Linked DNA regions of Coturnix japonica. The protein of the gene in region 1 interacts with the protein of each later gene in a biochemical or structural test. Links are inferred from orthologs where the notes say so. Each region holds a gene or a part of one and is shown in the gene's direction. Other genes may lie near its edges.

The links.
Region 2: the proteins of GRB2 (region 1) and PTPN1 form a complex in vitro, tested with the Homo sapiens proteins (2 studies listed by BioGRID). The link is inferred for Coturnix japonica from reciprocal best matches to the Homo sapiens genes GRB2 and PTPN1.
Region 3: the proteins of GRB2 (region 1) and FRS2 form a complex in vitro, tested with the Homo sapiens proteins (2 studies listed by BioGRID, with this or other methods). The link is inferred for Coturnix japonica from reciprocal best matches to the Homo sapiens genes GRB2 and FRS2.
Region 4: the proteins of GRB2 (region 1) and SPRY2 form a complex in vitro, tested with the Homo sapiens proteins (2 studies listed by BioGRID and IntAct, with this or other methods). The link is inferred for Coturnix japonica from reciprocal best matches to the Homo sapiens genes GRB2 and SPRY2.
Region 5: the proteins of GRB2 (region 1) and PDGFRB form a complex in vitro, tested with the Homo sapiens proteins (2 studies listed by BioGRID). The link is inferred for Coturnix japonica from reciprocal best matches to the Homo sapiens genes GRB2 and PDGFRB.
Region 6: the proteins of GRB2 (region 1) and NCKIPSD form a complex in vitro, tested with the Homo sapiens proteins (2 studies listed by BioGRID). The link is inferred for Coturnix japonica from reciprocal best matches to the Homo sapiens genes GRB2 and NCKIPSD.
Region 7: the proteins of GRB2 (region 1) and CDKN1B form a complex in vitro, tested with the Homo sapiens proteins (2 studies listed by BioGRID and IntAct, with this or other methods). The link is inferred for Coturnix japonica from reciprocal best matches to the Homo sapiens genes GRB2 and CDKN1B.

Annotation. Positions count from the first base shown.
Region 1 is NC_029533.1:9,398,553-9,402,052, reverse strand, and holds part of GRB2 (growth factor receptor-bound protein 2), read left to right. Parts: intron 1-329; coding exon 330-427; intron 428-1,075; coding exon 1,076-1,198; intron 1,199-2,911; coding exon 2,912-3,080; intron 3,081-3,500. UniProt on the Homo sapiens protein: Non-enzymatic adapter protein that plays a pivotal role in precisely regulated signaling cascades from cell surface receptors to cellular responses, including signaling transduction and gene expression.
Region 2 is NC_029535.1:12,162,838-12,167,137, reverse strand, and holds the start of PTPN1 (tyrosine-protein phosphatase non-receptor type 1), read left to right. Parts: upstream 1-1,500; 5' UTR 1,501-1,520; coding exon 1,521-1,664; exon of another isoform or gene 1,665-4,300. UniProt on the Homo sapiens protein: Tyrosine-protein phosphatase which acts as a regulator of endoplasmic reticulum unfolded protein response. Mediates dephosphorylation of EIF2AK3/PERK; inactivating the protein kinase activity of EIF2AK3/PERK.
Region 3 is NC_029516.1:32,158,793-32,162,772, forward strand, and holds the start of FRS2 (fibroblast growth factor receptor substrate 2), read left to right. Parts: upstream 1-1,180; 5' UTR 1,181-1,326; intron 1,327-3,980. UniProt on the Homo sapiens protein: Adapter protein that links activated FGR and NGF receptors to downstream signaling pathways.
Region 4 is NC_029516.1:136,861,073-136,865,372, forward strand, and holds the start of SPRY2 (protein sprouty homolog 2), read left to right. Parts: upstream 1-1,500; 5' UTR 1,501-2,253; intron 2,254-2,488; 5' UTR 2,489-2,564; intron 2,565-2,683; exon of another isoform or gene 2,684-2,779; intron 2,780-3,868; exon of another isoform or gene 3,869-4,300.
Region 5 is NC_029528.1:4,822,763-4,826,697, reverse strand, and holds the start of PDGFRB (platelet-derived growth factor receptor beta), read left to right. Parts: upstream 1-1,135; 5' UTR 1,136-1,532; intron 1,533-3,935. UniProt on the Homo sapiens protein: Tyrosine-protein kinase that acts as a cell-surface receptor for homodimeric PDGFB and PDGFD and for heterodimers formed by PDGFA and PDGFB, and plays an essential role in the regulation of embryonic development, cell proliferation, survival, differentiation, chemotaxis and migration.
Region 6 is NC_029527.1:6,683,894-6,687,393, forward strand, and holds part of NCKIPSD (NCK-interacting protein with SH3 domain), read left to right. Parts: intron 1-1,425; coding exon 1,426-1,518; intron 1,519-2,665; coding exon 2,666-2,838; intron 2,839-3,400; coding exon 3,401-3,500. UniProt on the Homo sapiens protein: Has an important role in stress fiber formation induced by active diaphanous protein homolog 1 (DRF1). Induces microspike formation, in vivo. In vitro, stimulates N-WASP-induced ARP2/3 complex activation in the absence of CDC42.
Region 7 is NC_029516.1:66,307,391-66,311,659, forward strand, and holds the start of CDKN1B (cyclin-dependent kinase inhibitor 1B), read left to right. Parts: upstream 1-1,469; 5' UTR 1,470-1,994; coding exon 1,995-2,469; intron 2,470-2,875; coding exon 2,876-2,997; 3' UTR 2,998-3,006; intron 3,007-3,820; 3' UTR 3,821-4,269. UniProt on the Homo sapiens protein: Important regulator of cell cycle progression. Inhibits the kinase activity of CDK2 bound to cyclin A, but has little inhibitory activity on CDK2 bound to SPDYA. Involved in G1 arrest. Potent inhibitor of cyclin E- and cyclin A-CDK2 complexes.

The DNA of each region.
Region 1 (3,500 bases):
GGCTGTTTTTAGTCAGTGTACCTGCCTTGTCTGTTGCACTGCACCGCTTGGCAGAAAAGCAATGAAAAATAAAGCAACAAAACTTCTAGAGAGAGTATGATTTGAAATAATGATTTGTGTATTAATGCATGGAGTTTATTATAAATTATTGATCCACCTTGTTTTGAAGGCTGATAAAATGTGATGGATTGGGATGGCTGACTATGTGTTTTTAAGGGCTCGTCTTATATGAACAATCTTTGAGACACAAGTGGAAAGAATAAGCTTGTGTCTTCGTCTGTTTTGCTGGAACTTGAAATGTAGTAAGCTTATTTTTTTGTTTCCTTCAGGTTTTGAATGAAGAATGTGATCAGAATTGGTACAAGGCAGAACTCAATGGAAAAGATGGCTTCATTCCCAAGAACTACATAGAAATGAAACCACATCCGTAAGTAGAGCCTTGGTGGTAGTGCCTGTGTTTGGTTGGTTTTAAGCATAGATAAATTGACCTTTTCTGAAGACATTTAAACTGCTGATGGCATCTGGATCATGTGTCAGCAGTGCTGGAAGTCTTCATTAGTGCATTAGCAACCTGAGGAAATTACAAAAAGTTTGTATACTATCGTGTTTACTGAGCAATAATGAAGAGCTCTCTAAGTAGTCCAGCAGGGCATACAAAAACAAACTTCAGCCAGCTGACCAGGTGTAAGAAAGAGAGCATTCCTTTTCTTAGAGCTGGTGTCAGTGTTGTTGGAAGGAGGTGTAAGTATTTTTTCAAGAGAATTTAGAAGGAAAGTAATTGAAAATGCCTTTATATGTTAAGGATTTCACTCTTACTGCATTTCTGCTTCCCTAAATTAGATGAAATAGGGCTATTGTGAGCATGTGCTCATGAAATCATGGTAGCTTCACTGCTAGGACAAAATGTGAGAAGTTGCATAGTTTGGTAGCCTGTAGTAGATTAACAATAAATAGATGCAGTTCAGTCATTTCTGCTAGAATTCATCTGATCTCCGTGGGGATACCTGTGTTGGGCTCTTCCATAAGACAGTTCAACTCCTTAACTTTCTCTGTTTTCTTCTTGCTTACTCCACAGGTGGTTCTTCGGAAAGATTCCCCGAGCGAAGGCTGAAGAGATGTTAGGCAAACAGAGACACGATGGTGCCTTCCTTATCAGGGAGAGCGAGAGTGCTCCTGGGGACTTCTCTCTCTCGGTCAAGTAAGTAGTGCCCAGAAATAATCGTGTGGAAATCAGGGCACTTGATGCTCATTTTGACTCCTGGATAGATAAGTGATTATCAGTGCTGAGGAGCGGCAATAATCAAGATAGCATACCTATTCTTCTGGTGATAATGTATTTTTGTCTTTATTAAAGAGGAAGTACAGATAAGCTCTGTTTTGTAATGAGCCTACATGGCTGACTTGGTGGTGTGTTGCTGTCTGACTTAAGTGTTTTCAGGCACTATTTGTTAATTTGTGGATCCCATTTCTCCTTCCTCCAACTATGAACTGCCCAGTTTGTACATACTGCTTTCCATCCTCCTTTGTTCCTCTTCCATAGAACAAGTCATTATTCTCTTCTGTCTTTGGATAATACACTTCCAAATATTTTTCATGACTGCTTGGCACATGCTTTGGGGATATTCATCTTAGCCAGCACTGGGACATGGAGCTAATGAAAACAAATTCTTTTCCATTTCTCAAATGCATTCCATTAATGGAATTTCAATATAGAGGAATTTCTTTCTGTCTAGTAACATTGAAGGTAGGCAGGAACAGTTCCCATCCTTGTATAACATTTCTAGAAATGCTAACTTTTAATCAGCAGCAATTTCTGATAGTTAACATGTGAGCCATGTTTAACCATCTCACAGCTCTGTATAAGCCGCCATAAATTGAAGTATTAAAAAGTTGGAAGAGTATGGGATGTAAGGTAGCATAGGAAGGAAGGAATTCCATCCTCAGCAGCTGATTTTTATCTTTCTTAACTTTCTGTAACCTTCCCCTTTCCTTCCAGAAATGAACAGGGTTTTCTTTAGTATCTTATATTGATTATTCACGCACAGTTCCTTGTTTGCTGTATTTTTGGCTCATCTTTGGGCTGTACCCAGATTTTGTCATCCTGTACACCAGTCTTGATCCAGCCAACAAACTGAATTAAAACCACTCTTTTTAGAAAGGTGTTTATAGTTCTGCTGGGTACAATAATCTGAGCTGGAATACAAGATACGAATGGGAGCTCCATTGCAGACATCAACTTCCTTCATGAAACTTGGTTTTGACTGTAGCTCTGCTTATCTTGTCAGCTTAGTGTTGCCACCTGGTGGTAGTTTGGTTTTTTTTTTTCCTGGTGGATTAATTTAGAAAAAGCTTTCTTCCACTCACCCCCAAACAGTGATTTGCAAGATTTGAAATGATGAGAATCTCTCAGGTTGAAGAGGAAACAGCAAAGGCAGTACTCACTGATTGTTTCATGTTAACGTTGTAGCCAAGACTATGCCTGCACTTTAAGCTCTTGATGCCAGGTGGAGAATGTACTCCTCACCCATTTTCAGTGTTTTTGTTTCAGAATAAAGTAAAAATGCTAACGTGCTGTTCATCTGGAAAAACTTTGGAGTTGCACTTTACGTAGAATAAAAGTTGAATGCCATCACATGTCAAAATATAGAAGTGGAAAAGTCTGTCTGTTTTGCAATACATCATTTTTTTTTTGTAACTCCATGCTTAGAGACAGTCCTGCCGTACTTGTGGCAGTTCTTTTCCCAGCACTTTTTGTATGTTTTCAAGGGTCTGCTTCACAGCAGCCAATTGATACCTGCAATCATTGTCACCAGCTATGTCCCGAATGATTTTTGTGTTGTAAAGTCTCACAATCCTAGAAGAGTGCTCAGTGACTGTGTTCTTCTCTGTATTGTTTGCTCATTTCCCACAGGTTTGGAAATGATGTGCAGCACTTCAAGGTGCTTAGAGATGGGGCTGGCAAGTATTTCCTCTGGGTGGTGAAGTTCAATTCTTTGAACGAGCTGGTAGATTATCACAGATCCACATCTGTCTCCAGGAACCAGCAAATATTTCTACGAGATATTGAACAGGTGCCACAGGTAAGAGAACTGTTTGTTCAGAGCATATTTAAACTAATGCAACCATGGGTTGCATCTGGGATTGTATCTTGATGGTGATGGAGAAAAGCTGACTTTTTACCTGTAGGAGTTTATTTTTGGATCTTGCTGCCAGAGTTGTACTGGAAAATAATCTGGATGTTTGTGCACAGCCTACCTGCTAAAACTTAGTATCCATTTCTGGTGGTGTTACTGTTGCTGCCTGAACATTTGGCTTGTGTTAATGTTTTTGGGTACTGTTGAAATAAGATAATCCAATTCCTGTGAATTAAGAAGGTGTTTACTCCTGTTTTAGGACACAGTAAGAAAGCACAGTTATGTACTGGTTCATAGCCAGAACTGTCCCGTCCCGTCCATCCCCCCCCCCCCCAAAAGCAGTGAAATTTTGGTAGTAGTCTTGCC
Region 2 (4,300 bases), on another chromosome or scaffold:
AGTCATAGCAAGCAGATGGTGACATCCAAACTATTAACATGGAAAATATGTCACCTGATGAGCTGTATGAGAACATAACCACACATCAGGAAATCTGTGCTCTTAGTAAAATGTTTAGATTTTTTATACCATCAGAAACATATATCTATTTTTCCATTTGCACCTCCTTTTCACTACTACCACCAACGTTCAGTTTCCAGTCTGCAGCTTCTTTTGCTCCTGATCCCTTTTCACCATGTGAAACCACTCACGTTGTGGCCTTGATCTCTACAGGGCCACAGCTGCACAGTGAAACCAGCCTCTTGTGGCTGCAGCTGTTCTCTAGCTGATTGGGCAACCCAGCACATGGCAATCCACACCACTTCCATGCCAGTCCCTTTCTCTGTCTCTCTGAGGATATAGATTCTCCCTGTGCCACATGTTATATCCATAGGCTACTAAACCCACGTGTCTTGCTGTTGCACAGCACTCCTTCCATCAAGGGCTTGGGTTTGCATGGCCCTGCATGAGATGCATCACTGCAGTGAAAATGCTGTGATCCTGCAGCAGCCAGGGATTGATGCCATTTCCCACAGTCATAGCCCTGAAGTGCCCTGGAGCAGAGATTGGTATTTGTGTGTTGGATGAAATGTGCTGCCGTACACTGACAAACTGCCACTTGCTTTCTTACACCCCTGTACTCTGAGGGTCCTCTGTTTGTTTCCTCTTCAGCACAGCCTGCAGGGTATTGTCTGTTCTCACGAGGAGGTGAGGCCAAGTGGACCGCCTGCTTCACCTGGATTAGAAACCACAGGAGGGCTTACTCAGCAATGAAGCAATGCCATCACCTCGAACGTGTTTTGGAGAGCTATCCTCACCAAAAAGAGGCCAGAAGTGCTCCCCAACAGATTCTTCAGTGTAACCCAGGGCTAATAGTTGAATTGTTGAGTCTTACATGATGCACTGTTAGCAAAAACCAAAATGAAGACAAATGAACCTTCCATATGAACAACCCCAAATGCTGAACCAAAACCAAACAGAGAATCAGAACTAGGAATGCCTGAGGTGTAACAGCAAAAGGACACGCTGGAAGATCAGCTCTGTATAACAAAATGTTACAGTTCTGCTCAAGAAAGGGGATGTTAACGTAGACTAATGGCACAGATACGTACAGTCAGTAGCATTAGGTGTGGTGACTGTTAATAGCAAGTTAACAGCAGTTGGACGCTGGAGATGCCGCCTGCTACAGCTGGCTTAGTGACTACAGAGCTGCACTCAGACAGCACAGCAGCAGCATGGATCGTATTTGCAGGCAGCTGGATTGCTATTCATGATGTTGGCTGATTTAACGCAGGTAATCTCACAATGCTGAATTTTATCAGAAATGCAAACTAAAGCTTTAACGTTCCTAAGCTCAGTAACTCATTTCCCGGCTCCAAACCAACACATCTCGCTCCCCCTCCAACCCCGCGGCTGCGGCCGCCCCGGACGTCGCGTCTGGTGTCGGGCTGCGTAGTTCCGGCCCAGCAGGGCGGGGTGAGATGCGGAGCGGGCAGCCCGGGCCGAGGCAGCAGCAGCTGGAGCCGGAGCAGCGGGGCCAGGCCGGGCGCGTTGTTCCGGCCATGGAGATGGAGAAGGAGTTCCACCGGCTCGACCAGGCCGCCAGCTGGGCCGCCATCTACCAGGTGAGGGGCGGCCGCCCGGCCCCGCTCTGACCCGGCGATGAGGAGCGCTCTGCTCGCGGCCGTTCTCCGCTGCCGCCGGCTCCGCTCCCCCAGCGCCTGCCCCGGCCGGAGCTCCAGGCGGGCGGCGCTGCGTTCCGCTGCGTTCCGTTGTGTTCCGCTGCCTTCGTTCCGTTTCGTTCCGTTTCGTTCCGTTTCGTTCCGCTGCCATCGCCCATGTCGCGACTTTCCGTTCCTCCTGTCCGTGCTGGATCACTCGCCGTTCCCTCCTTCCCTTTCCTCGCGGCGCTCAGGGTGGCTCGGTGCAGCCCAGGCCCCGCCGCTCTCCCCGCCGGCTGCCGGCATCGTCCCTCCGCGTCGCGGCCGCTCTCGGCCTTTGGAGCTGCCGGTCCCATTGTGAGCAGCGGGTCCCGGCTGTCATTGAGCTCGGTCCGTAGCGATAGAGCGGATCCGAGGAGCAGCTGGCTGGTGACGCTCGTGCAGTTATATTGTGGCATTTGTTATTACTTTGTAACGAGCCAAGTTCTGGTGTTGTTATTGCAAACACGGATGATTCTGAGGATGCTGGCAAGGTGGATCCAGGTTAACACACACAGCTGTGAGCAGGTCTTCTGCCTCCAAAGAGCTCTGTGTGTTTATCCCGGAGGTGTGAGGGGAGCTGCAGCTGTGTGTGATACTGTGATGTGCTCAGTCACATCAGACAGCGGACATTAGAAAAAGGGCAAAAAATGAGTTTTTATGAAAGTGAAATAAACGAGCTCCAGCTTCACAACAGCAGCATGTGAGCTGTGAAAGCACCAGCTTGCAGGATGGGCATCTCCTGTTGGTTGGCAGTGGGAAAATAGACATTTTTCTTATGAAATCTTGATTATCTTTTTCAGAGAAGTCATTTTTTTTGGCAGAGGATTTCATTTCCTGCAGAGCCTCAGTGCTCGCTAACTCTGTATTGGTTGGAAGTCATGTGCTCGTATGATGATGTGTTTTTGTTAAACTTCTCTTGGTATTTTGGTCTGTTGCAGGCTGAGCGCTCAGGAAATGATGTTGAGTAGCAGCGCTGTAATGGAGGTGGTCAACTTCCAGGGGTGCAGTTTAATTACTGAGGTGGAATCCATAAGGAGCTGTGAGGTTAATAAGGAACGAGGGCTGTGGCATGTTTCCAGTGCAGCATTTGGTATATTTTTTCCTGCTTTCTCTGAATGATGTGACGCAGTCTCTGCTCAGACTGTCACAGAGTGAGGTTTGACTGAGGACTGATATTCAAATTAAAAGTAACAAGATGAAGTGATTTGCTTCCAGTTGTAGACAGGCATGAGAAGCTTGTATTTTAAGGTTTCTTGCTTGTATTTTACGGTTAGTAAGTATGTGCTTCTGCATCACATAACTCAGTTTCTACTGCATCCTTCTTTTCAGTATCAGCTGTTTTAAGTGACATGGTGGCAGATCATATACATCTAGAACAGCGTACCTCGCTGTAATCCATGCTTGTGATGTCTTGGCAGTGACATGATCAATGCAGTTTTCCAACAAATACCAATCTTTGCCTGAAGAATGGAGTTAAGTGGAATAATGTTTCTTACTGGCACAGTCTCTTCTTTCTAAAGAGTCTTTCTCCGGGTTAATTATACCATGTACTTCTACTGTGTAGGTGGTAGGATCATGATTGCTAAAATCCAGATGTGTTCACCAATGTTCTGAATGAAACATCACACGGTTTACTATCAGAATCGCTTCCTCTTGTTTCTGGGCTATATCATTGATCTAGAGATACAGCTGACTTTTAGAGGAGGCATTAGGAACACAACAGGGAGGTGAATCTGACTGCAGGGGTGGCTGTAAGGAGGTCTGTGTGGATGCCACATGACTTTGAAGGCATAACATTTTCCAAGCTTCTTTTTTTTTTGTCCAAGAGGAAGCTGTGTTCAGCTGCAATAATCACCCGGTTCTGAAAGAATGGGAGTACCAGGAGGATTGAAATGCATTCACTCTGGAGATGTCACAACAAAAAGCAGGAGCCGAAAGCTACGAAAAGAAGGTTCAGGAGAAATTTCATTGCAGCCTTCCAGCACTTGAGGGGAGCTTAGAAACAGGATGGAGGACGACTTTTTACTGGGGTGGATAGTGATAGGCTAAGGGGGAATGGTTTTAAACTGAAAGAGGGGGGATACAGGTTTTCACTTGACGTAGTGAATTCAGTACCAAATTTTAATGGTAATTCTATATGTAGAAGTCTTCAATAATTTTGATTTCTAACTCCTTACACACGTTGGTAGAATGAGATACTATCTTAAAAACACAAACCTCAAATACAGGTTAAATTGCTTCTTGTGTTTACATAAACCTGGTAGGTTGATGTTAGTATGTTGGCTAATGATATTAAGTCTGATGTGTTAATAACATTAAAGAGATCTGTGAATTATTCAGCGTTCAGCTAGGAATCCCATGCAAAGCAGACACTGCAACCTGCACTAACTTGATACTGTTGGTTTTCACTGAAGCATCTATGACATTTTCTCGACGTTAGTTTTCCACGTGAAGGGTGCAGAATTTGTGCTGTAGATTGCAAAATAAGAAAGAACTGATTGTCATTTAGATTTCCAGGTCTGTTCAGAATGGGGAATATTGGGCGCTGTACTGGCTCT
Region 3 (3,980 bases), on another chromosome or scaffold:
TTGGTTTTTAATAAGTTTTTGTTAGTGTCAAATGGACTTTGGAACTGATAGAATAAAACTCCACTCCTAGGTAGCATCTTACAACAGAGAAAGAGAGCGAGATGCTGTACCACACTTCAGCCAGGAACATGCTTTTGCTGCTGAGTCACAAACCCTGAAAGGAACCATTATATAACAGCCCTCACCTACAGCTGAGTTAGGTGGTGCCTGTTATGTTTCAGTGTGTAGCTGAAACATTTAGGATGGAAACTGGTATCCATCTCCAAGGCTTTGATCAGTATTGATGCTGAAGTGTACACAACTCTTGCTGATCAGAAAGGGCTGCCCACTAGAGGAGACGTGAAATGGGATGGAATCCAAAGGACACTCCAGAAATGCAATCTGGCATTCCATCCCCTCAGAGTTCCTTCTTTGTCAGACCCAGGAGTTAAGAATATGAGTAAGGCAAAACTTTATTAATGAGATAAATCTACTGATAACAGTTCACATACGGTTGGGCTGCTCTCTTGATTACAGAACTGAATAGTCTTTAATTTTTAAAGTAGCTTACAGGCAAGGGCAATAATCTAAGGCCAAATTCCATGATAAATCTTACAGTGTACAGAAGTTGTCTCTGCTTTCAAAGCTGATTAAAAGGAAGTTCCGAGTGATGTAGAACAGAACTGAAAATGCCATCAAAGAACTTGGAGGTGTTCAAGACCAGGTTGGACGGGGCCCTGGGCAACCTGATCTAGTAAAGGTGTATGTTTGGTGGCCCTGCCAGGCAGGGGGTTGGAACTACATGATCCTTGAGGTTCCTTCCAACCCGGGTCATTCTGTGATTCTGTGACTTAAAGCAACGTTGGTTCATAATTTGTAGACAGTTGCAAGCAGTCTTCAAAAGAATGGCATCTATAGCGCATCTCAATGGACGAGCAGTCATCTCAGTCTGGGATGATGAAAAATGACTGTAGATAGGACCAGCAACCAATAGAAGATGGAGAACTGAACTGTCAAAGAGACAACGGACATTCACGTTCAACCGCTGACTACGAAGCCGCCTCGCCCCGTGTCCGCCGCGCCCGTCGGCCTGTGAGCCGGCACCGTCTGAGGGACCCACACGGAGCGGTGAGGAGCCCGAGCGGGGCTCGGCGGGGCCGTGCCGCCCCGGAAGGCGTTCCCGCCGTGCTCCGGAAGCTGTGCGGCTGAGTCCGGCCCAGAGCGAGGCCCTGTCGCCGCCGCTGTCGGGAGGCGCCGCCGTTCCCCGCCGCGGACGCGGGGCCGCCTCTCGCCCGTGGTAGGCGGCCCGGCCCCGGGCTCGGCGGCCGGCGCGGGCTCATGGCGGAGGTGGGTGCGGGCGCCGCTCCCGTCCCCGTCCCGGCCTCGCCTCGCGGGGCGCCCGGCCGGCTCCCCTCGCCCCTGCCCCGCGGCCGGGGCCGCGCTCCTTCCCCGCCGGAGTGTGCGGGGCCGGCGGGGCGACGCGGGCGGGCGGGACTGCGGCCGGGAACCGCGGGCGGGAGGGGACGGACGGAGGGAGCGGGGTCGGAACAAAAGCGGAGGCGGCCGGGCCGGGCTGGCGGTGGGGGCTGCCGGGGGCAGGAGCGGAATGCGGGAGCGGCCGTGCCCGCCCGGCCTGCACGGTGCCACGGGTCGGACATGGCCAGCTGTCAAGCTGGGCCGCTGCTCCCGGCTCTCTGCGATGTGGATGTGGGGGATCACGGAGGTCGGAAGGGGTTTGGGCACCGCTCTGCATCGGTTCTCTGCCCGAGCCGTGGTGAGACAGAGACGCTTTCTTGGCTTCATGGTCTCCGTGTCCTGCTCAGCATCAAAGCACGAGGGGTGGTGATGGTGAGAAGAGGTTAGGATGATGTTGGGCAGTTGGTAAGAGATGACACCGTGCTGTCTCTTAGCTTTTTATTTTACTTATAGTGCTAGTGACAAAGTGACATTTAGCATAATGAGAAAGCACAGCCGTATTGTATCTTGCTTTAACAGTGTTAGTGATAAATCATTCTGTATGATGACTCTCATTCAGTCCATACTGCTGGCTCTGCAGTACTTTTGTATTTAAAAGAACAAAAACCTAATTTCCCTAAGATTCATCTCTGCTTTAGAAGCGGGTCGATATGAAGAAACATTCAGATCCAGTAAATCCAGATTCAGATCTGTTTGTTTGTCTGGATCAGCAGAACTGCCAGCGAGGCTCCCTGGCTGTTTCCCTCAGTTTACAAGTGTGTCTGAGCAGCACAGCCATCCTGCGGGCGGTGTTGGAGCCTGCTTCAAGACAAATGTGCATTGATATCAGTGTGAGTCACCAGTTCAGGTCCAAAAATATTCCCTGCATCACAAATGGAAAGTGATTAAGAACGTTATTTCTTGACTGAGAAGCCCTGGGTTTATTTGCCTACGTATCAAGAATGCTTTGAAAATGCTTGTTGAAACAATGTCCCAGTGGTTGTATTTATATTTGGTTAAGCAGCTTTTTGCTCACTTTCCAGTTCAGTGTCTTGTCTCGAATGCTGGTGGTTGGCTGTAGTCAAAATTAATTGTTCACGATTCCCTTTTCAATCTACCAATGCAGTAATAAATGTAATTGCTTGTAGGTTTGCAAGGTTATTTCTCGCAGTCAGTGTGCACTACTACTTATAATAATTTACTTCTCGAAGATCACCTTGAAAGCAGCGATGTCCATGCTTAGTAGGGGATCTGATCCTGCAGTCAGCACTATTCACTTCTATGAGCCCTGAGTCTCACAGTTTGAGCAGTACAGTTCTTTGAGTGGCGTCTGAAATTCATTCCTCAGCAGAGCGGTTTACAAGGCTGCTGACGTTTGAACTCCAAAAGAAATGTATTAGAATCATCACGCTGAGCTGCTGTGGCAAATTGAAATGTAAAATAGGGCGGTACACAGGTGCACTTTGCAGCATCAGCTGTGGATTAAGACTGGATGTTCTGCTTTCAGCCTGCCCCTGGTTACCCCTTGTGCTGGGAGTGCCAGCTTGTGGAGCTGGGCTGGTGACGGCAAGTGGCTTGTTCTGTAGGGTGCCCAGAGGAGCTGGGGATTCTCCATCCTTGAGGTGTTTGAAGCCAAGTTGGATGGGGCCCTGGGCAGCTGGATCTAGTGGATGGCAACCCTACCCACGTCAGGAGGTTGGATATGGATCGGTCCCTTCCAGCCCAAACCATTCTATGATTCGTTCTGTGTCTTTTGGTTGATGATGCTCTGGGCTGGATCCTTGTGAGGTAGGGACGGGGTGTTTTGTGAAAGTGGTGGTGGGACTCACGTGCTTGAGGGGAAGAGCAGGGCTGCCTGGGCCTTGACCTGTAGCCAGCACTGTGGGACTTCAGCTGGGACTCAACTACTTCGTGTGAATGTGTTGCTGTCATGGACCATCTCCACCACAGGAGGATACAGTTGGTCCTCTTTGCTCTCAAGCTCCTAGGCACAGGCCGGTGCCTGTGCAGCACTGGGTCGAGGTGCACCCAATGGGGTGTGAGGGGAACAGGTTGCTTCTGGCAATGGGGATGAGTTGTGCCAGCCTGGAGTGTGCTTGATCCTGGCTGACTTTGGTGAAGCTGAGCTTGGGTTGAGCACGGAGGGTCTGGATGCATCGTTTGGTTGTGGTTTGTCAGCATGCTTAAAATCTGAGATCCTTTAATCTGTGGCAGTGCGACTATGATTTCAGTGTGCATTTTGAAGGGATTTTAAGTGAGGAGTCTTATAACTGCTGTTCATCTGTCGGATTTTTGAGACAATGAATTTGTTGTGTGTGTGCATTGAGCTTTTAAACATAAAGACTGAGAAAAGAAGATAGTTACCAGTATGTGCAAAGAAACCTGCGTGATGTTCTGCAATAATAAGTAAATTGAATGACGGTAACAACAAAGGATGAAAATGCTGAGGCTGACCTGAGACTTAATGCTGTTGGCTTCAGACAGTTGAAAACTGCTGTCCAGAGGTGTAATTCCATGCAGCATAGGCAGGTGTTTTATCAGTTGAG
Region 4 (4,300 bases), on another chromosome or scaffold:
CTGTACTTTAGAACTGGCATTTAAACTTCTGATTTCTCTGTAAAACACAGTATGGTGGATTTTCTAATTTATACACTATTTCTGTGCTTGGTTTATATCCTGAAAAAAAATCAAGCAGGCTTTCCCTCGTCCATAAGCTTCTACATGTTGTCCATTACCTATTTTTGCCTTTACTAAGCTTCACAGTGAAGTGAAATCAACATCATTCTTCTCCCGTTCCTATGCTAACCCGCGCTCATCCCTCCCGGATGAATCCCATGGATTTCCCGGCGCAGCCTGAACGTAGCACACAGTTCTGAGGATGCCCAGGTTCATACTCAGCAAATCCCACTCATCACTGGTGACCCCGTGGATCTACTAGGGCCGCATGAAGGGATGAACGCAGAGCTGTGGTCGTCCCATAGAGAAACTATGAGAAATAACTCTCAGCTTCATAATGTTAGTACATAGTACTACATAGCCTTCTCCGCCCCCTCCTCATCCTCCCACCCCATTTTTATTAACAGTGACCCCTCTCTCAAGCAGCGATGACAGCAGGTGGAGAAGAGGAAGCGCTGCCAACTGCCTCCCAGCATTAAGAAGAGCTCTCAGGGCTTTCGCCCCGAGAATTTGCTCATGTAAATAACGCGCCACATCGCTGCTCGGCACGCCGGGTATATTTTAAGCAGGGCCACACGTGATAGGGGTGTACGAGCGCTCTGTGCATGCCGACGTGGATACGCCGCTGTGCGCGCTTTAAAGACCCGCTGGCGGCGCGGGGTGCCCAGGCCTGACGGCACTGCAGCCCGTGCAGAGATGACCGGCTGCTCCCATATCAAGGGAACCTCTCTCACAAACAGCCATTTCTATCAGCTGCCCGTGGGCCGCGTCCCGTACACGAGTGGGAATCCATTACAATGGAAGTTTCATAAAAGCGAGCGAAATTACAAATGAACGACGCTGAGAAACACCCCCCGGGGGGCTCTTGGAGACCCCGCTGTGCCCCTGCCGCCGCCCGCCCCGCGCTGCCCCGCGGGCCCCGCTCCGCGCCGCCGTGCCGCCTCCTCGCGTTAATCCGCGGCACAATGCCGCGGGCAATAAGCGGCCCTTCCTGCTGCCGGCTGGGGGGGTAGGGAGCAGAGAGTTTAAACTTTTTATTCCATAGAGGGGGATTAAAAAAAAAAAAAACAAAAAAAAAAACAGAAAGAAAGAAAATAAAAAGAAAGGGAAAAAAAAAGAAAACATGGCTGGGGGAGGGGAAGCACCTGGGAATGGGTCTCCCGCTCCCCCCAGGGAAAGCAGCTCCCCTCGACCGCCCTGTAGCCCGATCGCTGCTGGCCCCTGGATAAACACGCGAGCACAAAAGCAGCCCCGAGCGCCGTGTGACCGCGCACGGAGCTGCCTCCTGCGAGAACAGGCTGCGGCCGGGCCCGGAGAGGGGCGCGGGGCTCCGCACGGCGCCGGGGCCCGACGGGAGCGGGGCCGGGGCCGGGAGCGGGGCCGCGATTGTGGTGGAAGCGGCGGTAGCGCTGCCCTTTTGAATGCCTCCCGCAGCTCGGAGTGCTGGCAGGGCGCTGGGAGCGCCAGTGAATGTAGCCCCGCAGAGCCAATGAGCTGGGACCGGATGCGATATATCCTCTGGGACAACAACTGCTCTGTTCCTCCTCAGATCCACATGACGCCATTTACTGCTGCTTTTGCAGAGAGATCACCCTACCTCCTCCGGAAAGAAAAAGAGAGAGAGGGAGAGAGAGAGCGAGCAGAAAAACGCCGAGCCCCTCCAGCTCAGATCTCAAACCTTCCTCCTCCTCCACCTCCTCCAAACACACAACAACAACCACCACCACAAATCCGCTGCGCTCCCCAAACACCCCCCCCACCCCCCCGCTCGCAAACCGCAGAGCCGCCTGCAACACACTCACACACACACACACACACACACACACGCTCGCAGAGGGAGCGAGAAAGCCGAGGGAGAGAGGGAGAGGAGCGTGCGGCGAGCGGCGTTCGGCAGCGCGGCCCCCCCCCCCCCCGCCCGGCTGCTGCTGCTGTTGCTTCCTCGGATGAGTTCGCTGGAAGAAAGCTTTGCCATCGGATTTTAGATCCACTTGATTTTGTTTTCTGTGGCTTTCTCCTTCCTCTCGATCCTTTGCAACGGCAGCAAGAAAAAAAAAAAAAAAAAAAAGGGGAAAAAAAAAAAAAAGAAAGGTGACTCGGTGCTGGCGGTTCGGCCTCCTGTTCATTGAGGGAGAAAAAAAGGAAAGTGTGTGAGAAGTGAGTTCTTTGGAGGAGAACAGAAAACCCACCCAGATCCGGAGAGGTGTTCTGATTATTACTATAGCACATAGGCGCACACACGTTCTTACAGTCGAGCTGGGCAGAGGGGAGGACTGACTTTACTCCGGACTTTTTTTTTTGCAAGCCGATCGTTCTGATTCTCATTTGCAAGTTGGACGAAAGCAGAGTTTGGAAAAGAATTTTTTTTTTTTTTTTTTTTTTTTTGCTTTAGGGCTGGATTTATTTGCAAACCGCAGGAAGAAGAAAATACAACAGAGAGAGGGGTTTGGTGCAGCGCCGCGATCACGGTGAGAGCCTTTTCCTTCTTTGCAAAACAAGCTTTTCAGTAACCCCCGCAACCCCCCCCCCCCCTCTTTTCCCCCTCGTATCCCCCCCCCTCTCCTCCCTCAGCGCTGCTCCAAGAAAACTCGTGGAAATGTTTGAGGCCGATCCTTTTTCCACTCGCACAGGTTCTCCCTCTCCCCCTTTCCCCTCTCCTTCCTTTCCCAGAGAAGAGCCGGAGGTGGGATTTCGGAGCTCTTTTTCTCTCCGGGGAGGGTTTTGCGGGCTGCGCTTTATTTGCGCCTCGTCGCGGTGCTCCGGGGGGCGCGAGGCTGCGCGGGGGCGGAAGGCTGCGCGAACGTACACGCGTGCCCGGGGGGCTGCGGGGAGGCGGGGGCCGCGTATTCCCGGCTGCGGGGAGCCGGGCACGGGCGGTGCTGCCCCGGGGGAGGCGCAGGGAGGGCGCTGCGAGGCCGCCGGTACCCCCGGCCCGGGGGAGCGCCGTGATTGACGCCCGTGTGTGGTGGCGTCGGGAAGATCCGTGCCATTCGGAAGTGAGTGCACGGCTGGTGTGTAAATACATCTGTGCGGCTGCGGGTGCGTGCGTATTTCTCGTGCGGTGAAACTTAATTCGATTCATGAGACGGGGAAACTTCACTCCCAGGTTCTACTTTGCAGAGTGTGTGTGTGGAGGGGAAGAAGGACTTTTTTTGTGGGGGTTTACTGTGTAACAGGCCCCCATCCCCCCACCCCCCTCCCCGATATATATATTTATCTGCTGGTGTTCTCAGCATGTTACTTGTATGTCAGCTTGCCCAACCTTGATGTAAAGTCGCTTTTGCCCTAATCCAGAGTCTGATGGCACACTCTGCTCTTAATGTGGGTTTCAAAGCACTGTGAAAGCAGAGACGGTGACGGGGGTGTTTGCGGGGCGGTGGGGGTGGGGGTACTGCGCGGCTCCGGACACAGCACAGTAAGTCCCGGGCAGGGACCTCTTCCCCCGAGGCCCCCTCCGCGATGCGGGGATTTTCCACACGCAGCACGCAGAAGCCCCTTGAGTTTGCCACTTCCTCGGACGTGCGAAGACGAAAGTTGCCTCCCCCCCACCCCCCCGGCTCGCCCTCCTGCCAATCCCAGCCAGGAGTAGGCAGCGGTCGTGGCACTTGAGCTGTGCGAGAGTGGACTTTGGCTTCTGGAAGTGGGGAACGGTGTTATCGCCCACATGCACACACAGGAAGGCCAAGCGCTGGAAGGGTGCTGGGTCATAGGGAGAGTCGTGCTTTCTCTCAGAGCTTTCGGGCATGGCTGCAAATAAAGGTGCTGGAGGTTTACATCCTGTCCCGTTAGGGTCTGTCAGGGGGAATAAGGAAACATGGCCCGGCTCGGGTTGACAGTGCCTCCTGGGCAGGGGCGGGAGGCTCAAGTTCGGGCAGTTCTCTTCTCTGGCGGCTGAATGAGCGCTCAGGGCAAGGCGAGGGGGGGCAATTTGCCTCCTGCCCGGCTGTCCCGGAGGTTCTGTCTCCAAGCGTCTGCGGGGCGCCGCTCACTGCCCGGCCGGGAAAGGCTTCCTGAGCATCTCCCGGGGGAGGGCAGGGGGGAAGAGTTAAAAGGAAACATGGGTTTGACTTTCCTGATAAGGCGACTGCGGCCGCCCCCTCCCACCTCCCGGCCCGGGGATGTCTCCTGTTAATCTCCAGGTTGTCTGCACTCGCGGGGCCGCCGCCTGAAGCCACGGGGCTCCGCGTCCCACCTGCTGCGCTCC
Region 5 (3,935 bases), on another chromosome or scaffold:
GGCATCATCTCAGGAAAACTCATCCATGAGAGATGCTACATTTTCATGGTTTTCTTGTATCAGAATAAAGCACATCTCCAAGGCAGAAACAAGACAAGAGCGGGTGGTTCAGAAGACAGTTTCCATCCAGAAGGTCTCTATACTTTGTCATAAAGGCGAACCAAATTGCTACAAATCCCAATGCAGACAAACCATAATTGTGTCCATCAAGAGATTGTCAGAAAACTGATCTGAGCTCACCAAAGCGTGCAGAGGGATCTAAGCAGATACATTACCATGCGCACCATGGGCATTCAGCACAAGGGGATGGCCAAGGCAGAGGTGGGTGCTGTTAGGTACAGCAGGGAGATGACAGGGCGACTGGGCTCCTTCCTGGGGCACATAGCAGTACAGGACAGCTCTGTGCCCCTAAGCATCCAAATGAACCCCATCCAGCCACCACCATCCCCACATCCCCAGCATCCCACACCAGGGTATCCCAATTGCACATTATCCTTTATTCCCCTTTCCAAAAACAACCAACCCACCACTCCGAGGCCTCCCAGAGGATGCTCCCCTAGGACCATTGTGGGCATGTGTTGGTGGTCCCAGAGCCTGGCTGAGGGCTGTGGGGCCGGGATGGGGGAATGGGGGGGGTGGGGGGCAGTGCTGGCCCAGGCAGGAGTCCAGAGGGAATACACGGAGTCAGTTCAGCACAGGCCTTCTTTAATAAAAACATGAGTCAGCTGCTGGCGTGGGCAGCAGATTTTTCTAAACATCCCCTCATATCCTGAGAAAGGAATAAAATAAATAAATAAATGAAGAAAGAATAAAAGAAAACGGGAGGGGATTTGGTGGGGGGGGGGGGAAGAGAGAGAGGGAAGAGGACAAAAAAAGAATAATAAAATAGGGAGAAAGGCCAGAACTGAAAGCAAGCACAAGGAGATGAGGAGCAGCTCTGCTCGAAGGGCAGAGCCGGGCAGCTCCGGGCTCCTTTTGTTTCCCATTCGCGGGGCCCTAACGCAGCCCCGCTCCCCTCTGTCGGCACCACTTGAGCTTTTCCTCTTTTTAGTTTTCTATTTCTTTCTTTCTTTCTTTTAATCCCTCCCCATCCCGCCGCTCCGTTGGGCTTTAAGCGAAAGTTTGGCTCGAAGCGGAGTCCCGCAGAGGGCGGAGGGGAGGAAGTGGCGGACTCCGCTGCGGGGCAGCCCCGCCGCTCCTCCCCCTCCTCCTGCGGTATTTAACCCCGCACACCGCCCCGCTGGACGTCGGGGGGCTGCGATGCGCTGAGGGCGCAGCACGACGGCTTGGCTTTGCCCCAGCGCTGGCACAGCCTCCACACCCCTTTCTGTTTTACTTTTCTCCTCCCCCCAGCCCACCCCCCTCCCCTTCATCTCTCTCCTCTATGCGGGGAAGCCTTGCCAGCTGGGGAAGGCTGGGAGGGCAAAGAGCCTCCGCAGGCTGCAGATAAAGAGAGCGGAGGAGGAGAGAAAGGAATTCGGGGCGGCTGCGGACGCGCGGAGCGGCACTAACCCGCTGGGACCCCACGTGAGGTAAGGCAGGGAGCCGGGGTGGGATGTAGGACCCCTGAAGGGGCTTTGCTGATGGGGATAACGTGGGGGTTGGCACCCTGAAATGGCCCACCAGCCCTGGGAGGGTGGTGGCATCCCATGGATAAAGCCATATTGGGTAACTTCCCCTCTACTCCCCCAAGGGATGCTGTGGCAGGGCTTGAGGAACCTCTGCTTATCCCTGGGGAGCCTCAGGTCCTTCCCTGTGATGTGCTGGGCTGTCAGAGGGCTGTTGCCTGTCCCCAGTGAACTACCACTGTGCTGTCACAGGCAGGGGCTGCAAGCAGAGCTGGGTGCAGTGGATGCCGGCTGCAGGGCCTGACTGCCCCATCTAGGAACCATGGGGAGTTTGGTGCAAAGCATCGCAGGGAGCAGCAGGGGCTTCCTGCTGACCTCCACACTACTCCAGGGTGGGTTTGCAGGAGGCTGGCACAGGGATGCAGGTCCTTGCTGTGTGCAGCATTGCTCAGCTTCACCCCATGCTTGCATCAGGCAGAGCAGCAATAATGCATCCAAACACAGCTGGTGCCACCCCTCTCCACTCATTGCTCTTAGTGGCCCCCCCATCCCTGTGGGCCAGGCCAGCACGGAGGGGACATCTGTGTGCTGTGCTCAGTGCTTGCACCCATTCAGGGTGGGCCTCTCCAAGTGGTTGCACAAGTGTGGGCAATCACTCAGCTGTCCTTGGGGTCTCCAATGCAATCAGGTGGTGGTAGGTCTGAAGCAAAGCCTGGTCTGCACGTCCTGCAGTGCTGTGAGTCACAAAAGGACTTTTGGAGACATTGTGGAAACAGGGCATCCTGCTCCTGTGCTCATCTGCCAGCAGGGAGGTGCAGCTGGGGGTGCAAAGGGATATTTTCTGCTCCATCCCTGCCCTGGATCACCTGGGGCTTCTGCTAAAGCATCAGGCAAAGAGCTGAAAGCAGTGGGTTCAGCACTAAGGGCTGCAGTTGGGAAACAGCCACCAAATGTCCTGAGTGCTTGCAGGGGGGTCCTACTGGTCTCAGTTCTGGGCATCTCCCCATGAGCAATATGGAGAGGGGGGTGGTTTTATCCTCGGGGAGGAGCGAGCAGGTTGGGAGCAGCAGCCCACTGAGCTTTGGGAGGAACTATTAAATGTCTGTACATGATCTTGAGAGAGAAGAGCCCAGGCAGTTTGTGCTGTGGGAAAGGATCTGGAGGCTTTGGACACAAACCAGATTGCAGCGCGGCATGGGGAAACCAGCAGTGCTTCCTGTGGGACTGGAAGGAGCAGGGCTGGGGGCAGAGCCAGCGCAGAGCAGTGCTGAGGGATGGACATGGGAGAAAGACTTGGGGAAGACACAGAAGGGGCTCAGAGCATGCAGAAAAGGCTGCAGGGGGCTGATGGAGGGGGCTCTAAATAGGGGTGGGTGCTGGAATGGTAGCATGAAGTATTTGTGCATGGGGAGTGCAAAGGAAAAGGTCAATGTGTAGTGGTGTGCAGGACTAAGTTCTGGTGGGCAGAGCACCTTCAGCACTGCAGGTTTGGGGGGACATGGGTGCTGCAGCAGGGCAATGAGTTCTTGGTATCGTTCAGGCTCCAGTTTGGTGGGTTCTCAAAGTATCCCAAACAGTAGTGTTACAGAGTGAACAACATCCCTGGGATTAGGGCAAGAAGTGTCTGTGAGGATCAAACATTAGGGGATGCTCTCCAGCAGCAGATGCCAAGTTGAAATAGGATGAGTGCTGGATGGCCAAGCATCTCCCTGCATGCAGCAGCAAAGGGCAGGGAGCAGGAGTGGTGGTGGCTGAACAACTGCTGGCCCTCAGCCACTGGTGGTGGCATTGGTGCTGCCTTTGGCCCAGAGCTGGGGACACATTGGGGACCAGTGGGCTGGATGAATCCCATCACTGTAGGCTGGGGCATTTTGTGCAGTCTGTTTGTTTGTGCTTGAAATGAGGGGAAGAAATCCCCTGGAGAGGAGCTGAGGGGAGGGTAGAGGTCGGGGATTGTTCCCTGGGGGGCTGGGGTGCCTCCAGAAGTCTTCTTCTGCTCTGCCAGGCTGATTGGGCATAATGAGGCTTGTTTTAGGGCTTGCTTAATTAGGATCCCCTGAGCCAAGCGCACCTCTGTCCTGTTCTGCAAGGACGGCCCTTCCTGGAAGTGCAGCACTTTCCTGGAGCAGAGTCAGCTGGGACAGGGATGGGGACACGTGCCAGAGATGAACAGAGGGGCACTGGGACAGGTCAGGGGGGTCCCATGGGTCCGTCCCTTTCCTTATAGCAGGGGATGCTGGCAGTGATGTCCTGGCCCTTACACCCTTCTTCTTTCTCCTCATCTCTGGGACACAGGCTGTGGAATATTGAACAACCGTTTCAATATTCCTCATGAAATCTCGCACAGAAATGATGCTGCCAAGCAAG
Region 6 (3,500 bases), on another chromosome or scaffold:
GTTTGGTGCTGTTCTGCCTTGTCAGGATATCAGGTGGTCTGGAGCACTGAGGGGATGAAGAGCAGGGATGTAGAATCTCACTGGCACTTGATGGTGTTGCGATAACCTGTGCAGCTCTCTCAGCCTCTGGCAGCACACTGTGTTTCTACTTGTATCTGCTCAAATACTCTACAAAACTCTAGAGGGAAAATCAGCCTGAGAGCCCATGTCCAACCAGCTGACCCTTCAGCAGCCATGAAGTCCAGTGGATTTCTGTCTATACATTCAAGCTGGCTGGATGGAAGCAACTGCTGGACTGCAGGACATGTGTATGGCCAACTTGTAGGCACAGCTGATTTGGAAGGGAGCATGCTTCAATGGGCATTTCTTGGTATCTGTCCAGAAAGAAAGCTTTTTGCTTTACGAAGGTCTTCACAAACCTGCTTATCCAGCTGCACTTCTTGAACCTTACTCACTGCTTACATGCTGGAGCTGAGATTATTACCCTTAGCCTGAGCTGCACACTCTCCTCCTTTCCCTCACTGTCAATCCTCCCTCCTCTGCTGAGCTACTTAATAGACAAAGCCTGTGATCCCCAGAGAAGGGCATCTGCCCATTCCCTGTGGGGCTGACTGGGAGCTTCAAAGCTTGTTGTTGGGAAACTGGGAAATAGTGCCAGGTCCTGACACTTGTTAACCCAGAATGAGCTTGCAAGGTCTCCTGTTGCTCCAATTGTATTTAATTATTTACTGCTGTTCTGCTTCAGGACCTTATCCGTGGCTTTGTGGAGAAAGGGGAGGATAAAACAGCAGGACATGGCTAGTAATTTGCTTGTTATAAGTTGTACACCATTAAAATTTGTGTGAAAGTTTCTAATTTCATGTGAAAGTTGATTGCACAGAGGCTGATTTAGTACAGTCTCCGCTGCTTTCGTTCATTACACTTTTGCATAGTTACCCCTAGAGATCCTGGATGCAGTAATTGGGCAATAATGTGTGACCAGCAGCGTGTTTCTGGGGGATCATTGCCTGCAGTGATTTGTTCTCTGATGCTAAGAACCTGTTAAATGATGCTCAGGTTGCTTATCAGTGGATTAATGTGTTATCTCTCTGCCTGTGAGATTCATTTGTCCTGCATTGCAGATGTGCAAAGTCGATTCAGAAACTCTGCTAAAACATGTTATGTTCATAGACTCATAGAGAGGCTTAGGTTGGAGTGGGCCTTGAAGATCTCCCAGTTCCAACACCTGCCACAGACAGGGTTACCAACCACATCCAGCCTGGCCTTGAGTGCCCCCAGGGGTGGAACCCTGGAACCTTTTGTAGCCCTGGTGGGTTGGTTCCCTGCAATTCCCCACAGTGGGAGCCCTGTGCTGCTTTCCTTTTTTGTTTTGTTACTGTTGTCTTCAGCAAACAAAGGGATGTGCTGAGCAGGTTTCTTCCCTAGTTCCAGAGCACAGCGTGATCATGACGACAATAAGCAAGCACTCCAATGTCAAGACTTTCACGGAGAAGCTGTTGCTGCTGCTGAACAGGGGAGGTGAGTGCGGCACTGTCACCTGCCTGGCAGGGGATGCAGCTCCCAGGAATGGTGCTTGGTAAGAGCTGGGGGTGCAGGTGGCATTGAAGCTGTTGGCTGGGGCTGACGTGCTGCTCAGAATGGAGCTTCCCATTTCAGCCTGGCCAGCAGAGGGTTTAGTTTTCTGCCTGCTCCAGGCATGGAGTGAAATCCACTGCATGCACAGCAGATTGTTAGAAAGCTGGAGATCACTACAGGCAGAGCAGTGCCAGGTATTTCTGCCTGCGCTGCATGCCGCTATTGTGCTTTCTAATACCTTCTGGAGCACAGGGGCTTTGCAGCTTGAGATTTGTTGTGTTGATTTGCTGGTAAGTAACTCACCCTGTGAAGCTCGCAGCTCGTCTTACTCAGGCTTCAGATGCCTTTGGGGTCGCAAATCAGTTTCCACGCTATACCAGTTTGAGGGCAGCCTGCATTTCAGTGCTTCTCTGTCTGGCCCTGTCCAAAAGCCTTTGTTTAGACTCCTCCATATGAGATTCTCTAAAAGGATTTCCTTACTTTGAGGAGCAGGAAAACCAGAACCAAAGAAAGATGCTTCTCTTGTGCCCTTCTCCTGTAGTACCCATAGCCCCTTCTGTGGTCTGCAGGGCCATGTTTTGGTAGAAAACAGGGTACAGTGGGTAAATTAAACTTGGAGGTGTTTCTTTTATTGCTTCCAGAACAGTCCTAGCCTGGTCTCCATGGTGAAAGCTTATTTCTGATGCAGGCTCTGGTGGGCTTTTCAGAGGGGTCATTGGACCAGACTTAATAAACCAGGGAGAAAATGAGTGGTGGCTGTTGAGCAAGGAGGGGAGGCACTGGGAGGTAATGTGCTAATGAGCTTTCACCTGGGATAATAGGTGAAACATAAACAATGATTAATGCTAATGCTAATGAGTTTGGTCTCAGCTTGGTGCCCTGCAGAGCTGCCATCCTGATTACACAGCTTTGTGCAAGGCACTAAGGACTGCTGGCATGAAAGCTGGCCGTGGGCAGGGAGCGACTGGCTGAGGTGGGGGCAGCCCCCTCCCCAAAACCTGTGGGGAACAATGCAGGGGTTGGCACTGGAGGTGCAGGAGGTGGGCAGCAAGGAGTGTGTGGCTTAACGCGATCTCTCTGCCACCCCCAGATGATCCAGTTTGTATCTTCAAGCATCAGCCTCAGCCACCCCACTCAGTGCTGAAGTTCCTGCAGGACATCTTTGCCAGCAAGGACACAGCCAGCATCTTCTACCACACAGACATGATGGTCCTGATAGACATCCTGGTGCGGCAGATCGCTGATCTCTCCCCCGGAGACAAGGTGCTCACACAAAGCCACGGGCACTGAGTAGGGGAGCGTGGTCCCAAAGCAATGGTATTTCTCCTCACCTGTTGGGCTTGATGGTGCAGACAGAGCTGGAGTCCTGGGGCAGGCAGAACATTTCAGAGTGCTGAAATCTGTCTAAGGGGCTGAGAAGGAAGGGAGGATTTGTCCTGCCTGCATGTGGCAGCAGGAAAGTGTGTTTGAAAGGTCTGCCAGGCTCTGGTGGTCTCTGCCCTTCTGTTCAGGGACCTTTGGGAAAAGGGCCCCTCTGTGAGTAGCAGAAGGAGGGATCTCCTGTGTTTTATTAGCGCTAGAGGCAGAGAATGTGCTTATGTTTGAGAGTGGATCATGAGCGTTATTGAGGTGCTGTGGGAAAAGCACAGTTCTCCATAGCTAATGGTGAGTCCTCCAGAAAAGCAGTGCCTCTGGAGCTCTGTCTGGCTGGTCATACAGCAGCAGCTGCTCCTTGTGCTCATGCTGTAATGGAGGCTGGCACGCTTGTTTATCTCATTTTGAATTTTTCACTGTGCCCTGTTTCTTCTCCCCTCCCACTTGGCAGCTGAGGATGGAGTATCTGTCTCTGATGCACGCCATCATCCGCTCCACGCCGTATCTGCAGCACCAGCACCGCCTCTCTGACCTGCAGGGCATCCTGCAGC
Region 7 (4,269 bases), on another chromosome or scaffold:
TAGCCACTCATGTGCACAGCTAAAGGGAACAACCCAAGTGTCCCACACCTCACATGAGAAGTGGAAAACTCTGGTGGCTAAGTTAAAGACAGGAAAGCCTGGAGAATAAAAAGAGAAGCCCTCGAATGAAGCAGATGAGTAGGTCCCACTTTGCCACCTCACACAGGCTTTTTTTTTTTCTTCTACAGAGTTGCAACTTCAAAAAACAAAGCAAAGGAACCCAACAACCCAGAAATCCCAACAGCAAACACCTAAAGATGCAGACATCAGGATGTCAGCTTCAAGTCTCTGTGAATGGGTAGATCCTGTGGTTGCTGAAAGGAGCTGGAAAACAACTTGTGGTAAAAGTTCTGGCAAACAAAAATAGCAGGGCTGACATTTTATTTCAACCTTGTGTTTTTTAAGTGTTTTTATTTTTCTCTTTGGATGCTCACATCCCTTTTTGAACTCGGTGCTGACAAGAGGCTGACCCAGGACAGAAGGCTGAGCAAGGCAGGGGGCTGCTGCCTTAGGGAAGGAGGCCCACAGACAACCATACTCTGGGGATAAGCATTAAATGCTGATCTTGTTCCCTTTCCAGTGCCTGCACAGGTGAGGCTCCAGTTCAAAACGCACCAACTACAGGGTAGGTTTTGGTGGCCCACTGCAACTGCAAGGCCTGAAGCAAAGTGTGTGTCTGAGTACAGATGGGGCAAAAGCTCCAAAGCTTTAAGGCCACAAGATTTTGGACAGCTGGACTTTGTGGAGGGTGCCAGGCCAGACACTTTGGTATGTGGGGTCTGTAGTATCCAGGTTACCTGGGCCCTGGGGAAGTCCCAAACCTCCAGTGTCTGAAAAGATCCTGCAGTGTGTGGGGCTGTCCTGCTGAGCAAGAGATGCTGACTGTAGTGTGAGTGAGTGTGAACAAGGAGAGCCCAGAGGAGAACCCTGCACTGCTCTTAACTCCAGCGGACCTGCTGCAGCAATCAGAAAAACAGCTCAAAAATCCCTGCCCATGACTCCTGGCTCAACTAACCTTTCAAAACACACAAACTTGAAGGTTTTCATTCTCTTTCCCCTGCTTACTGAGAATACAGCTCCCTGCTGAGAATTCTTACAGCTCCTTCCACACCTGGGCCCTCCTTGCCGGCAGTGCAGCAGAAGCCACCCCTCGCTTTCTCCCTTTCCTCCTGCGGGCAGCACTACGAGGATGCTGGGCAGTGACCCTCTCCCCCGCCTCAGCCGGAGCGCAGCTCCCAGCCCGCCCAACCCTGTGCAAGCAGAGCGATAGCCACAACGAGTCAAAATGCAGCTAGTCCCCTCGACTCGCGTGACTTTCACCAGGCTTATGTTCCGCAGGGGGAGGCGGGCTCACGTGCGCGGAGCGGAGCCGTGCCGTGCCCCCCACGCTCTGCCCGCCCGCCGAGGGGCGGCCGGCGGCCAGGGCCACCTTTAGAGCCGGCGGCGGCGGCGAGGTATGGCCGTGCCGACGGGGCGGTGCCGGCCGCCGTAACCAATGGCTCGGCTCCGCTGTTTAAATAGACTCGTCCTGTCAATCATTTTCTCCTTCGTCAACCTCCCTTCAATCGCCATATTGGGCAACTGAGAAAAGGGCTCGTCTCGCCTTGTTTTTTTTCCCTCTCCGCCCGTACGACGTGGCCGTGGGGAGAGCGGCGGGGCCGTGCGGGCAGCGGTGGGGCCGTGCCGACGGCAGCGCGAGGCCGCCCCCGGGGCCGCGGAGGGCAGCGCCGCTCCCCGCTCGGCCGCTCCCCTCCGGAGCCGCCCGGGCTGCCCGGCGGCGGCGGCTGTCGGGGTTCGGCCGGCCCGGCGCTTATGCAATTGCGCGCCGCCGCCTCTCCTCCGCGGGCCGAGGCGGGGCCGCAGAGAGGGGGCCGTACGGAGACAGACCGCGGAGGAGAACCTGCGAGCGGCCGCGGGTAAGGAGCGGAGAGGAAGAGCGGGGAGAGCCGCGAGAAAGCCCAGCGCCATCGGCGACGGCAGAAAGGGAGGGGGAGATGTCAAACGTCCGCATTTCTAATGGGAGCCCTACCCTGGAGCGCATGGAGGCGCGACAGTCGGAGTACCCGAAGCCGTCGGCCTGCAGGAACCTCTTCGGGCCGATAAACCACGAAGAGTTAAACAGGGACTTGAAGAAGCACCGCAAGGAAATGGAAGAGGCATGCCAGAGGAAGTGGAATTTCGATTTCCAGAACCACAAGCCGCTGGAAGGCAGGTACGAGTGGCAAGCCGTGGAGAAGGGGAGCTCGCCCGACTTGTCCTTCAGACCACTGAGGCTACCCAAAGCCATATGCAAGTCCATCGTCTGTCAGAGCCTGGATGAAAACAAGAATTGCCAAACAGCAATTTGCGCCTCTTCTCAGGGAATCTCAGAGGATACCCACTGTGCAGGCGGGAAGACCAGTGTTGCTGGCGGTCAGACGGACTTTGCAGAGCAGTGCGCCGGGCAGAGGAAAAGACCCGCCGCCGACGGTAACGTACCCCGCGGGCAGCGCCGGGCCCGGCCCCCGCCTCCTCCCGCCCGAACGCCCCCGGTGCCGCCCGCGAGCGCCCGGAGCTCCGCGCTCGGCGGGGACCGCGGGTGAGCGGCGGGACCGAGTGGCGCCCCTCGGGCAGCCCCTCTGCGGAGGAGAAGAGGGGACGCTCCGAGCGCCGGAGTCGGGGCGAAACTAAAACGCGCGTCTCTTTGCCCAGAGAAAAGCCCGTCCGCGCCCACCTTCGCGTAGCCCGGTAGCTGACGTAGGGATGCGGGGACGTGCGGGAATAAGCCCCGGCCCCGTCTCTCCTCCCGCCCCCGGGTGCCGAGCGAGCACCTTGCGGGACAGCGTTTTAAACCGGTCTTCTCCCCCCCCCCTGTTTTTTAATTTTCCCCTCCTAGATTCCTCTCCTCAAAATAAAAGAGCCAACACAACAGAAGAGGAGGTTTCAGAAGACTCCCCCAGTGCCAGTTCAGTGGAGCAAACGCCCAAGAAATCGAGCCCGAGACGACATCAAACGTAAACTCCCCGAGTAGGTTCCCTTCGGGCTCTGGGCATTAGGATGCCTCGGGGGTGTCCGCCCCGAGCTCGGGACCGGGCTTCACGCGGCGTCGTGGTGCTGGGGGGCTGCCCCGCCTCGGCGCCGTTCGCACTGTCCCACCGTGGCAGGGAGCTCCGGCCCAGGAGGGCTCTGGATAAAAGCGGGGCTGAGCGGGAGCCTCTTGGGCTGAGAGAGGAGAGCTTGTGCTCCGGTTTTGTGTTGTTTTTCTCTTTTTTTTTTTATTTTTCTCCTCCCCGGTCGTTGTGGTTTTAGTTTCAGGCGCTGGCTGAGTTTCCAGGGAAGGGAGCGGGTTAATGGCAGCCGTGTGTGGTGTTCTTGTTGTTGTTTTGTTTCAGCGCGAGGGCTGGGGCGGAGGGAGGTGGTACATCGCGCCGGCGGTTTCGGGGCCGGGGTTTAGCGGGAAGGTTTGCGAACGCGGTTCGCGATTGTGCCGAAGAGATTAAGCTGCAAAGCAGAAGTTGCAACAAATTACTCCTGCTGTGGGGGGTGGGGGGGTTAGGGTTAGGCGTCAGCCCTCGCCTCTATGCAAATAGCGCACCACCGCCCGCTCCTTCGGGGCGGGGGCAGCTCCGCGGCCCGGTGGCGGCCCGGCCCCACGGGCTCCGAGCGGAGGCGGCCGACGGCCCTGGGGCGGCCGGGCTTAGAGTGCCGCGGGGCTGGGACGACGCACGGGCCGTGACCGGGCCGGGCCTTCCCTGCTGCGGGGAGCGGTACGAGCCCGTTGAAGGGAGCGCGTCGCTTTCAGCCTCTCTAATGTCTTCTCCCCGTCTTCTTCCCGTTGCAGGGCGGAGGACTCGTGTTTCCTTGCTCATCGGGGGGCGGTGAAGCCAGGAAGATAAACAAACAAACAAACAAAAAAAAAGTCGTAGTAGAGATGAATACATATCGTCGGTCTCCATGGGATGGGGACCCTGTGCAAGCACTGAAAAACAACTTCAGCAAAACAAACAAAAAAAAGCAGACAATAACACTAAAAGTTTAGACACTCTTAAAAAAAGACCTGCCTCTAAAAGCATCGGATGTAGCATTGTGCAATTAGGTGTTTCCTTATTTGCTTCATTGTACTACCTGTGTATATAGTTTTTACCTTATGTAGCACATAAACGTTTTGGGAAGGGGGGGGGGAGTGGAAGAGGGCGACCGATGGAGACTTGCTTTCGCCATCTAGCAAGCAAAGAAATGAAGAGAAGCAGTGTAGGCTTTTTATTCCTTAAAGATGTATTGTCCCTTTAC